Arabidopsis thaliana: one gene and its partner. The protein of the gene in region 2 purifies or fractionates together with the protein of the main gene of each other region. This does not show direct contact. Each region holds a gene or a part of one and is shown on either strand. Other genes may lie near its edges.

Region 1 (6,385 bases), on a different chromosome or scaffold from region 2:
GAGGCTATCAGATACAGGGATTCAGATAGAGAAGAAGACTTATCATACAAAACTGACTTCCATATCATACCGTGTAATGCGAATTGGAGCTAGAGTTTTGATTCCTAGTCGCAGGTACATTGTTGTTAGCCTTAGAATATGAGGATGCAACTCCACTGCCAGAAACAGACCTCTGCACATCTGAGAAGTTAGAGCCATCGTGCCATGACACAGGAGTGTAAAACCCATCATAGCTATACCTGGGGTCCTGATAACCAGCAGCAAGACCACCTCCAAGAGCACTGTTTCCATACAGTGCACTCTGATTCAATGGTTTAACAGGAGCTGATCCATTCATTCCTTTAGGGATACCAGCAGATGCAGAGTTGGCTGCTTTGTTTGTAGAGAGCTTGCTCTGAGTAGAGGCAGGAACAGACGAAGCGAAAGGCCCACTACTGGCTGTGAGAGGAAAAGGATACTGGTACTGCTGAGCACCATACAACTGTCCATCACCACCAAGTTGTGGAGCAGGGCTTGTTGCTGGTGAGTAAGGAAAGGCAGCATACCCGTATCCCTGCGGATAAACAAGAGATGCATTCTCTCCGTAAGCTCCCTGGAGTGATTACCAAATGACTAAGTAGGGCAAAAGGTAAAAGAGAGGCTAAATAGTCTGGACACGAGTTGCTTATAAGAAAATATTAACGCACGTACTGATGTCATATCAACACTCTCGGAATTGGTATAACCTGTGTAGTCACTCCCATAACCTGAAAGATTATACAAACGGTTGTGTTATAGATATTACAATAATTCTAGACAGTAGAAGGCTGAAGATATATAAATGAAACTTAATTATCACCATAATAGTAGGGCTGCTGATACACATTAGGAACATAGAAAACAGAAGGATCCAAGGCATCACTGGGTAGCATAGGTGACAAAGATCGATCAAAAGAAGGAACTTGACCATTCGAATCCATAGCTCCATACTGGTAAACACCCGTCTGCAAAGATAATGATGCTATGAGAACTCTGCTTGGAGTAACAAAATGTGCAGAGACATTAAAAGATGTAACTTTACCTTCTTAGTAGGCTCAGGGATCTCCAAAGTCCTAGACTTTGAATCTAAAGACAGTTTCTTCAATACATCAGCAGCTTCTGAAAAAACAATGTAAGTGAAGGAAACAAATAGGTTTCTATCTTCAGCAAGACTAAAAAATTGATTTTTCTAATCAATTTATTCACTTTGCTAGCTACAGGAACAGTCAAATTCATCGAGCTAAAACAAACAGAACAAATGGAAATGACATCATTTCACTATATGAATCGAATTACGATGAAGCAACTAGATTCATGAACGTAGATCACAAAAGAAATGAAGGAGAAAAGAAACAAAGGCAAAGGATACGATCAGCAGGAGGAGCAACAGTAGACATGAGAACAGAGTTGGCAGCGAAGACTGATAATAGATCCTTGTCGGATATTGAACAATAAGAGTTTGAGACAAACACAAATATCAGAGCAAAAAAGAACTCAGAAGGAATCTAGGGTTTAAGAGATTGAATCGTAGCCGCAAGAGAAGAGAGAAGAAGAGGAAGAGGCAAAAGTGGTTTTGTTCGTTCACCTCGATTTGATTCAAATACCTCCAAGATCCCTTTTTTATATTTTTCTATTATTTTTGTTTACCTTTTTCTCCATCGTTTTTTTTTTAAAATACTTCCTTTATTCCAGCCACATTAATATTATACTAGTCACTACGAAATATCTCACAAAATAATACTATAAATATTATTTCCTCGAAAATTTCGCAATTAATCGGGAAAAAATCAATTTTTAAAATAAATATCACTGATTCCAATTCCATTGTTAGGAATTAAGGAGCAAGAATAAAGGCCCAAATAGGCCCAATATAAATCTGATCCAGGATCCGAAGAGTTGAATCCAACGGCCAAGATTAACTCAAAGCTTGAAAGAGGTAAGGGAACGTTAAAAGCACCTTCCAAGCGAGAGTAAGGAGATAAACCTACTTCCTTTCCTTGCTTCAGCTCCCCTTTTCTTATCCGGAAACCAAAAACTTCCGGTGATAAAACCTCCTTCGTCATCTCTCTACTTCTGTTAGTTTCTTAATCCTTACTCTTGGAATAGTTTATCCTCTGCATTTTTTAGTGCCACAGTTTATGTGTGTATGTTTTGTTTGGATAAGAATTTGTTGTAAGCTTTTGAAAACTTGTATTAGTTCATTACTTCCATGATTTTGGGTGTTTTGTAATAAAATTTATGGATTAGTGTTTCTTCAGATTGTCAATTGTGTTCTTATTGAGCTCTGCTTTCGAAGGTGTCGCCTTTCTTCTGGTTTGTTGTGAAAATTTATTACTTTAGCTTACTGGGTTGTTGTTTCTTTCTGTTATATTGATTGTGTTAACCGTATATAGATGAAAAGAAGAGTCTTTTTTATATCTTTGAAATCTTATCTAAGTGCTGAATTTTGTCTGTCTTTGAAGTGGATAAAATGGCGTCAACTTTCACTGCCACATCTTCTATTGGTTCAATGGTTGCTCCGAATGGTCACAAATCTGATAAGAAACTTATCAGCAAGTTGTCTTCAAGCTCATTTGGAAGGAGACAAAGTGTGTGTCCTAGACCCAGAAGATCCAGTTCTGCAATTGTGTGCGCAGCAAAGGAATTACATTTCAACAAAGATGGGACTACCATTAGGAGACTTCAAGTAAGTATCTTTTTTAAAAAAAGTTAATGGAAACTTCATTCCCAAACCGGAGCTAAAGGTTTACATTTTCTGTGGTTTCTAATTTTGTGTTGTACTAGGCTGGTGTCAACAAGCTCGCAGATCTTGTTGGTGTTACACTTGGACCCAAAGGACGAAATGTTGTTCTTGAGAGCAAGTATGGATCACCACGAATTGTTAATGATGGTGTGACTGTTGCAAGAGAGGTATGGAATTATTACCCCTCTGATAATGATTTTTGTTCTCATTCAACTGAGTCTTAGAGTTTCAAACTTTCTCCTGTAGGTTGAGTTGGAAGACCCGGTTGAGAACATTGGCGCTAAGCTTGTGAGGCAAGCGGCTGCCAAAACCAATGACTTGGCTGGTGACGGTACAACAACATCTGTTGTTCTTGCACAAGGTTTTATCGCTGAGGGTGTCAAGGTCTGTGTAACATTCTTCTTTCAGCTTTCTCTATGTGAAACTTCAAAAACTTTTGTACTAATTTTAAGATTATCTTATTCAGGTGGTAGCTGCTGGTGCAAACCCTGTTTTGATCACCAGAGGTATTGAGAAGACAGCAAAGGCTTTGGTTACCGAGCTCAAGAAAATGTCTAAGGAGGTTTCAAATTTATAGAACTCTCTTTCTTTTAATATGTTAAGAGTCTTTTTCAAAAGGTTCTGAATGTAAGTCATGTCGATGTAGGTTGAAGACAGTGAACTTGCAGATGTTGCAGCTGTTAGTGCGGGTAACAACGACGAAATTGGAAATATGATTGCTGAAGCAATGAGCAAAGTGGGCAGGAAAGGTGTGGTGACCCTTGAGGAGGGTAAAAGTGCCGAGAACAACCTCTACGTCGTAGAAGGAATGCAATTTGACCGTGGTTATATCTCTCCTTACTTTGTGACAGACAGCGAGAAAATGTCCGTCGAGTTCGACAATTGCAAGGTAGATGTTTCTTGAATCTGAGTAGAAGATGAATTTTGTTGGCAGACTATTTAGCCACTAAAGATATTTATATATGAGTATAACAACGATCTTTAATGTTTTGGTATGATTGCAGTTACTTCTCGTTGACAAGAAAATTACCAATGCAAGGGATCTTGTTGGTGTTTTGGAGGATGCAATTAGAGGCGGATACCCAATATTAATTATTGCTGAAGACATTGAACAAGAAGCTTTAGCGACTCTTGTTGTAAACAAGCTTAGAGGTACACTGAAGATAGCAGCTCTCAGAGCTCCAGGGTTTGGAGAGCGCAAGAGCCAATACCTTGATGATATTGCCATTCTAACTGGAGGTAAGTTCTGTCTGCATTGATGAGCCCTATGTTTACGCATATATTTGTAGTTTTTATCTTGTCCTAATTTTCTATCTTCGCTTGCAGCAACTGTGATCCGTGAGGAAGTTGGTCTTTCACTTGACAAAGCTGGAAAAGAGGTTCTTGGTAATGCTTCAAAGGTTGTCCTCACAAAGGAGACCTCGACCATAGTGGGTGATGGAAGCACACAGGATGCAGTGAAAAAGCGTGTTACACAGATTAAAAATCTTATTGAGGTATAGTAAAAGAGTATAGCATATATGGGACCTCTTTTACTTTTTGTGGATAGTGTAGTTACATTGCAATGGTAATTGGTTTGTGCAGCAAGCGGAGCAAGATTACGAGAAGGAGAAACTCAATGAGAGAATTGCAAAGCTCTCTGGTGGAGTTGCTGTGATTCAGGTAAACTAAAAACTATTTAAGTTTCCTTTGTCTGATTAAGATGTGTTTCAGAGATATTAAGTTAAGCTCGTTATGTATTGGTTAAAGGTTGGAGCACAAACTGAGACAGAACTCAAAGAGAAGAAGTTGAGAGTTGAAGATGCTCTTAATGCAACAAAGGTGATTTTGTATTTCTGAGGCTTGAGAAGCGTGTTATTTGCATACTCGTGAACTATAACTAATCAGGATTTTAATTCTTCAGGCCGCTGTCGAGGAAGGTATTGTTGTTGGTGGTGGTTGCACTCTGCTTCGTCTTGCTTCCAAGGTTGATGCCATTAAAGCCACGCTTGATAATGATGAAGAAAAGGTAAATCAATCAAGTCTTCAGATTTTAACTCATGAACCTTCGGTTTCTCTAACTTTGCTGATGATTCCCTTTAGGTTGGAGCGGATATAGTTAAAAGAGCACTAAGTTACCCCCTAAAACTAATCGCCAAGAATGCTGGTGTTAATGGAAGTGTAGTTAGCGAGAAGGTAATAACAACAGATAACATAATTCCCACTTTTTTATCTCTAGATTTCAAGTCAGATGCTTGAAGAGATGTCTCTATTCATTGGCAGGTGCTTTCCAACGATAACGTGAAATTCGGTTACAATGCTGCAACCGGCAAGTACGAGGATTTGATGGCTGCAGGAATCATCGATCCAACAAAGGTAAGTTTTCTGTGCATATACAGAAACTGTCTTTGCTAGCTAAATTGGTCATCAAAGATCCATGAACCTGAGTGGCTTTATCTTGATTTTAGGTTGTGAGATGTTGCTTGGAACACGCAGCTTCGGTTGCAAAGACTTTCTTGATGTCGGACTGCGTTGTTGTTGAGATCAAGGAACCTGAACCAGTTCCCGTCGGCAACCCAATGGACAACTCAGGTTTGTTCAGAATTTCAAATACTTGAGTCTTTGGTAAAGATCCCCCGCATTCAATATTCATGTTTCATTGCTGAATCTTGTTGGCCTCTCTTATTTCAGGATATGGATACTAAGAGGAGATAGGCTAATATTGAAACGGATTACTTTAGCTTGCGAGTGTAATGATTTTGAACAAGAGAATGTGTAATGTGAAACTGAAATTTTGAATTAATCATCATATGAATAAATCATGATTCCCTCAATGCTTCGAAATATCTCGAAATCGCCAAATATGAAACTTTTGATCCAAAGATTTGAAGATTTATTATCACTTCATATGAAATGGTATACGTAAACTGAATGAAATGGTTAAAAGAATTTCTTAAGAAAAAAAGAACACATTTATGATCGAATAAAATTCCTCACAAGTATGTATAGAGCCAAGAAGAGAAGAGAAGCTATGAACAGATCACATCAAAAGACACAAACTTTAGGTGAACTATTTCTTGTTAAAGCCAAACAAGGATTTGATGGCGTTAATGGCACTCTCATTGATGAAAGATTCGTCGAATTGCTTCAGAAGTGGATCGAAATCCTTCGACTTCCTGAGAGTTTCCAGATCTGGATCACTTCTGATTCTCTGCAAACAAAACAAATAACACAGCTTCAACAAACAAGTCCATCCTTCTCTCTGTCTCAATTGAAACATTACAACTCCTTGGACTTACCTTAAAATCTTCATATCCTGACTTCAATGCTTCTTCCAGAGCCGAGAGACCAGCTTGAACCTATCAAAATAACTCTATCAACACTGCAAGTCAAAATGCAATATCTGAAAAGATTCAAAAGCTTTTTACCTGATTAAGCTTTGAGTAGCAACAAGCAACATTGTAACTTGCAACTGATGCTTCTTCTGGTGTTGGTTTAGAACCTAACACCGACTCAAACCTCTCCAATGCTTCCTCATACTTACCATTCCTATATCAAATTACACACATGTCAATGCTCACTTTCCGGTTTCCATAAACCCCTTTGGTATACTCACTAAGTATTTACTTGGAAAATTGCAGCCCT
Region 2 (5,439 bases):
GCTTCGAAACTTTCCGGGATGCAAAAGCAAGTCTTGAGTCTCTACAGAGGATTTCTAAGAGCAGCTCGTTCAAGACCAATAGAAGACAGGAAGAGAATAGAGATGATTGTGTCAACAGAGTTCCGCCACAACTCTAAGGAGGTCGACCGTAAGAATTTTCAGTACATCGAGTATTTGCTTCGGTTAGGTACTAAACAGCTTGATCAACTCAAAAGCCCTGCCATAGTTAGCCTCTCCTCGATCAAGGTCGTTACATCTAAAACCTGATACCTTATTTTATAGCTTGTTGCTCTAGTGACCATAGATAACAAAGCTGAGGAAATTGATTCGTTTTCCTCTTTTTACATTGAGTTATGTATGTATGATGATGGATGTTCAAGGTCCATTATAAAATAAAGAGAATTGTGATCACAATTGAATATATATATACACTTTCACACAATTATGTGCATCTGCTAATAGTCTAGAGATTGCAATCATTCAATATGAGAAGCAATGTATCAGATTTCATCTTTGTAAGAGTACCAGTCAATGGTGTAGTGCTCCGTTGCCAATGGTCTTGCTTTACATGTGAATGCGACACATTGTTTTTTTCCGGATTCAGTTTTGTCCTATAGTTCTGTTCTACTTAGTGCTATTTGGCCTCAGATTTTGTATACTTTATATGTCTAAGCATTTACCTAGTGTGCAACATTGGAATAAGAAGTGTAGTTTATGACAAGGCAATTTTAAATTACCAATGTGTTGTACATCATAAAAAAAAAAAAAGGGAACAAAAGAGGACAAGATCCAATCCACAATTACACAAAGGAGAAAAATAAACCAAAAGAGACAATAGGAGTAAAACAGCAAATTAATAAGCAGGATAATATTGCTCAAAAGTTGTAGACACAGGTTCCATCGTCACTTCTAGCCGTTGGATCAAAGTTTTCAGCCACAGGATCAGTACACCCTTCAGGAACTGGCAGGTTTACTTGCTGGGCTCCTTTTCCTGCAAGTCAAGTAAGTTTAACTTCAGAAAACCTAATTCCATTTTCTTCTCTTTCTCTTTTACATTTTCATACCCAGTGGCCAACTAAACCAAAAAACAAACGAGTTTCAAACCTCTGTTTTACCGTAGAAAGTTCCGCGGCCGATGGCGTCAGCGTTTGCGTCTCCCAAAGCAGCCTGGCTGAGGTAGGTCTCGGCAAGTTGGACTCTCTTGACATTCTCTTGTTCCATCACAAGCATGTTTCCGTATTCCATAAGCTTCTCATAAGTCATCTCGGGTTGCTCGAACACGGGAGGTCCTTCCCTTGAGTTAACCAGCCTCTTTCCGATCTTCTCAACTCCAAGGCTCTCAACGAACTTCCTCACTTCATCATCGTACACTCTCGCCCTCAAAGCACCGAAGAAATCTGTCCACACCAAAAACACATATCAGATTCTGCACGAGGTCCTATATAGAACATTTTCAGGGTAGTAAGAATCTTTCTTACCGATAGATTGACCAGGGAACTGATCAACAAGTGTGACAATGTCTTCGTCCTTGATCTTGTCAGTTCTGAAGATACCCTTGCAGACACCGATACGGTCTTCACGGGTCGGGGCCCAGTAGAACTTCTCCATACGTCCATCACGGATGAGAGGAGCGTATAGGGTGGAGAAATCGTTACCAGTGCAAATGATGGGGACACGTGCGTTCTCTTCCTTGTTGTACATTCCTGGGAGCTGGACGTTGGTTGGGTTATCAGCAATGTTCATGAGTGTTGCGTTAACCATCTGGTTGTTGACAGTGTACTGAGTAGTACCACCCATACGACCCGCACCAGCGTCAAGATCGTTGATGAAGAGACAACACATCTTTCCCTTCTTGATCAAGTCAGCTGCCTCACGGTACCTCTGACGGATAAGCTTTGCGGGTTCTCCTGCGTTTCCACTCTCAAGCTCTCCAGCACTCATCATGATTGGGCTGCAAAAAGATTCAAACTTTTTTAGATTCTTGTCGAAAGAGAGCTAAACAGAAACCGGGTCAAGATCGGAGATTTGGGAAATGGACTCACTTGATACCCATCTTGGCCATGACAAGCTCACACTGGAAGGATTTACCTTGACCTTTGCCTCCCCATATACCCAAAATAAGTGGAACCTATGAGACAAAAAAAACAGGCATTTAAAGATCAATAAAGTTGTGTAATAAGTCAAGATTGCACCAAAAAATACTCAAAAGAAAAACTTTAAATTATACCTTGATGTTAGGCAGAGTCAAGAAGTTCTTGGTGATGTGAACAACAAGCTTGTCCATGAAAGCAGGAGCAATGTAAAACCCATCCATCATGTTGTCCAAGTTGTACCTATATTTCAAGAAGTAAAGACAATTTTTAAAACCAAAGACTCCAAAATCTTTATGGAACTAATGAGAGATCTAGAGAGATGAGAACTTACTGCCTAAGGCCTTGGCTAACGTATTCGTATGAGCTAAGGACAGCGTGGTGAGTTCCGGTTCCCATAGGAGCTTGGAAGACAGAGTCAACCATACCCTTGCCTCTGGTGATGTCTTGTTGATCATCAGAAGTGTCGTAGGCAAGACCTCTCCATCTGTCTCCATCGGTTTGTTTGTCTTCTTTCACAGCCAACACCTTGAATGATCCGTTGCTCTTCTTGTTGCTCTGTGCGAATCTCGACACAGTTACAACTTTCTTTCCCAAGAAGGTTGAAGCTGGGGCTGATACAGCTCCTGATCCTGACCCGTTCAAGCTCAACTGCAACACACACACAAAAACAGTTCAATCACCAATCATGAATTCAAGTTTGGTTTATATGGTTCAAGAACCGGTTTAGAGACTATTCCTAAGGATAAAAGGCGCTCAATCAGGAACTGAACCGAACCAAACCGGGGAATAAACTTTAATTTGGTTCACATAGCTCAAGGTATAGACTAGTCCTGAAGACTAAAGAGTAGTAGTAGTCTCTACAGTTTCAGTTCAATTACTATACATCGATTTAAACACATCTACTAAATCTATAGTTCACAAGTAGAGAATAAAAGAAGCATCAAAGTATCTTTAGATTTCCTAGTTAAAGTCCTGATTCTTCTGTTCTGTCAGAGAATCTCAAAGTGATTCAAACGATCAAATTCTTGAGCTATATTTGTAAAAACCAAAGCTATTCAAGTGGTGGATAAGCACAAAGCGTTAAGATTATGTTAAAAGTAACATTAAACCACTAATGGAGATTGAAGTGTACCGGAGCTCTGTTGATGGCACCGACGGTGGAAACTGCGGCGGCCATATCTCAAGACTGCGACGAGTATGCGTCACAACACAAGAAGCTGAAGAGAGGAATTAGATTGGTAGAAGAAGAAGCTTAGAGAGATGTTGGTGTGAGCAAGAAACTGAGAGATTTATAAAGCGAGTGATCAACAACCAATTCGTTATCTCTTCGTCTTCAAGGCTTAACTCTCTGATCGCCACACGATGCGGATTGGCCAAGTTGCCACGAGGAAGATGATTAGGAGGATTCTATTTTGATTGGTCCACGTGGAATATGTTTATGAGGTTGTCGTCAAATGGCTAATCTGTGCCAATGGATTTGTTTTTTTTTTCAAGTGAAGATTATAACATTATTTATTACCACATATGCTTTGGAAAATCATTGTTTTTTTTTTTTTTTTTGAGGATTGAGGTAAGCCATTCATATGTGATCAAGATACTTCTACACTCTTCTTCATACGATAACATTCCAAAATTTTGGATAATGACATTGCTTATCGATAATAATGTTCCAAATAACCGATGTAAACTGATTGGTGGAGAGAAATTGGCTTAGCCAATAGAATATAATTCTAATTTTGTTATATACAACTCTAGATACAACAGGTATCAAGTATGTGGTTATCAAATTAACCATATTGTACTAAACCGCTAAAAACTAATTAATGCAACTTTTTCTTTACACAAAATGTAAAAACAAGTGATGCAATGCATACGTAAGATTTGATAAATATATAGTTTAGAAGATGAAGTAAAGATAGTCGAGGCTAAGATAGCATCATGCAAAATATCATATGCTAAAATATGAAATAAGATTATAGTGTTTAAATTCATAGTGAAAATATGAATATATCAGAAATTCATATGAATTTACTTGTTTTAAAATAAAAATGATAACTATATCATAGTTTATTGTTCCCTCAAAGTTACTATAAAAACAACTCATCTAAAACTATATATTCACAATCACAAGCAATCGTTTTCTACACTAAGCTATAAAATGAAACACTTCACTTGTCTGATCATTATAATTTCTCATCCTCTTCATTATTTTCAGTTTTCTCAACCATTCTCTCATGTGGAACGAGCCATCATATCATCAATGGACAAAACCAAATTTTAATTTTAGGCTTCATTCGCTGCCGACGAAGCAATATGTACATGTTCTACATGCAAGACAAGAGAACAAAGATTACTGATATGATATTAAACTATTATTGATCCATATATAAGACATGTTGAAGAACCAAACGATTGATAATAATGTGGTGGAGCTACTCGCACAATGCTAAATGTTAACTGTATGTGACAAAATTAGCAAAAGTTTGCGTGCCAGGTTTGATTCTTAGTACACATACATGACTTTTAACATACTGAGGTTAGAAAATGAAGTACAGTAAAACCTTTATAAATTAATAATGTTGGGACTGCAAAATTTTATTAATTTAAAAAGGTTTTAATTTATCGATAAATTAATATTTTTTAATTATAGAGAAATTTTCCTAATTTGGTAACTTTTTAAAAAGTTTTATAAGATTTTTTTCATTATAGAAAATATCTTTCTAAAATCAATTACAAGTACAAAATTATATCATGTCTAGAAAACAATACCAAATTTTTTTTGATACAGTAACACATTAGAACTAAATTTCAAATAAGAATAACTACAAATTTAAGTAAAAAAAAATCAAAAACATTTCTTACATATAATGTATATATATAGTTGATACATTTATGCAATTATTAATTTATGATATTGATGAGACTATATATTTACATAGGACTTTCAAAAAAGTTATTATCTTATTAATTTATCGATGTGTTACACTTTTTACATTGGTCCTAACTTGGGATCTGGTGAATTTATTAATTTATAGAGGTTACTAATTTATCGAGTATTAATTTATGGAGGTTTAACTGTAAAAAGAGTTGAGGTTACCATTGCAATAAAATATGAGACAATGTGTAGAGGAGGATAAAAGATTGAACAAAAAGAAGAAAGCCAACTAGTTTTTGTCAAAAGGATAATTTTCCATGTGCATGCAAGTATGCAACCACATCAAAATCATAAATAAACATTGTCTAAAATGTTTCTAATAAAAATAGATGTAAAGAAAATTCATCAGTTTAATAACTAGGGTTTAAGAGATATTTACAAATACTAACCATTAACATCATATTTAATATG

The links.
Region 1: the proteins of RCA (region 2) and CPN60B purify together in Arabidopsis thaliana (co-purification; one study listed by BioGRID). This does not show direct contact.

What each region holds. Positions count from the first base shown.
Region 1 is NC_003070.9:20,714,777-20,721,161, reverse strand, and holds CPN60B (chaperonin 60 beta), read left to right. Parts: upstream 1-1,900; 5' UTR 1,901-2,093; exon of another isoform or gene 2,094-2,480; 5' UTR 2,481-2,488; coding exon 2,489-2,704; intron 2,705-2,802; coding exon 2,803-2,928; intron 2,929-3,007; coding exon 3,008-3,145; intron 3,146-3,227; coding exon 3,228-3,323; intron 3,324-3,407; coding exon 3,408-3,650; intron 3,651-3,765; coding exon 3,766-4,000; intron 4,001-4,087; coding exon 4,088-4,257; intron 4,258-4,345; coding exon 4,346-4,423; intron 4,424-4,510; coding exon 4,511-4,582; intron 4,583-4,664; coding exon 4,665-4,769; intron 4,770-4,843; coding exon 4,844-4,936; intron 4,937-5,023; coding exon 5,024-5,116; intron 5,117-5,208; coding exon 5,209-5,332; intron 5,333-5,431; coding exon 5,432-5,445; 3' UTR 5,446-5,599; downstream 5,600-6,385. Other genes in the region: ECT4 (evolutionarily conserved C-terminal region 4), read right to left, coding at 71-592, 691-746, 839-983, 1,061-1,137, 1,388-1,415; ZKT (protein containing PDZ domain, a K-box domain, and a TPR region), read right to left, coding at 5,811-5,951, 6,040-6,099, 6,169-6,289, 6,368-6,385. UniProt on the Arabidopsis thaliana protein: Binds RuBisCO small and large subunits and is implicated in the assembly of the enzyme oligomer. Involved in protein assisted folding. Required for proper plastid division.
Region 2 is NC_003071.7:16,570,076-16,575,514, forward strand, and holds RCA (rubisco activase), read right to left. Parts: upstream 3,618-5,439; 5' UTR 3,271-3,617; coding exon 3,226-3,270; intron 2,742-3,225; coding exon 2,425-2,741; intron 2,334-2,424; coding exon 2,228-2,333; intron 2,129-2,227; coding exon 2,043-2,128; intron 1,952-2,042; coding exon 1,479-1,951; intron 1,398-1,478; coding exon 1,116-1,397; coding exon of another isoform or gene 1,099-1,115; exon of another isoform or gene 992-1,098; coding exon 876-991; 3' UTR 671-875; downstream 1-670. Other genes in the region: AT2G39725 (LYR family of Fe/S cluster biogenesis protein), read left to right, coding at 1-267. UniProt on the Arabidopsis thaliana protein: Activation of RuBisCO (ribulose-1,5-bisphosphate carboxylase/oxygenase; EC 4.1.1.39) involves the ATP-dependent carboxylation of the epsilon-amino group of lysine leading to a carbamate structure.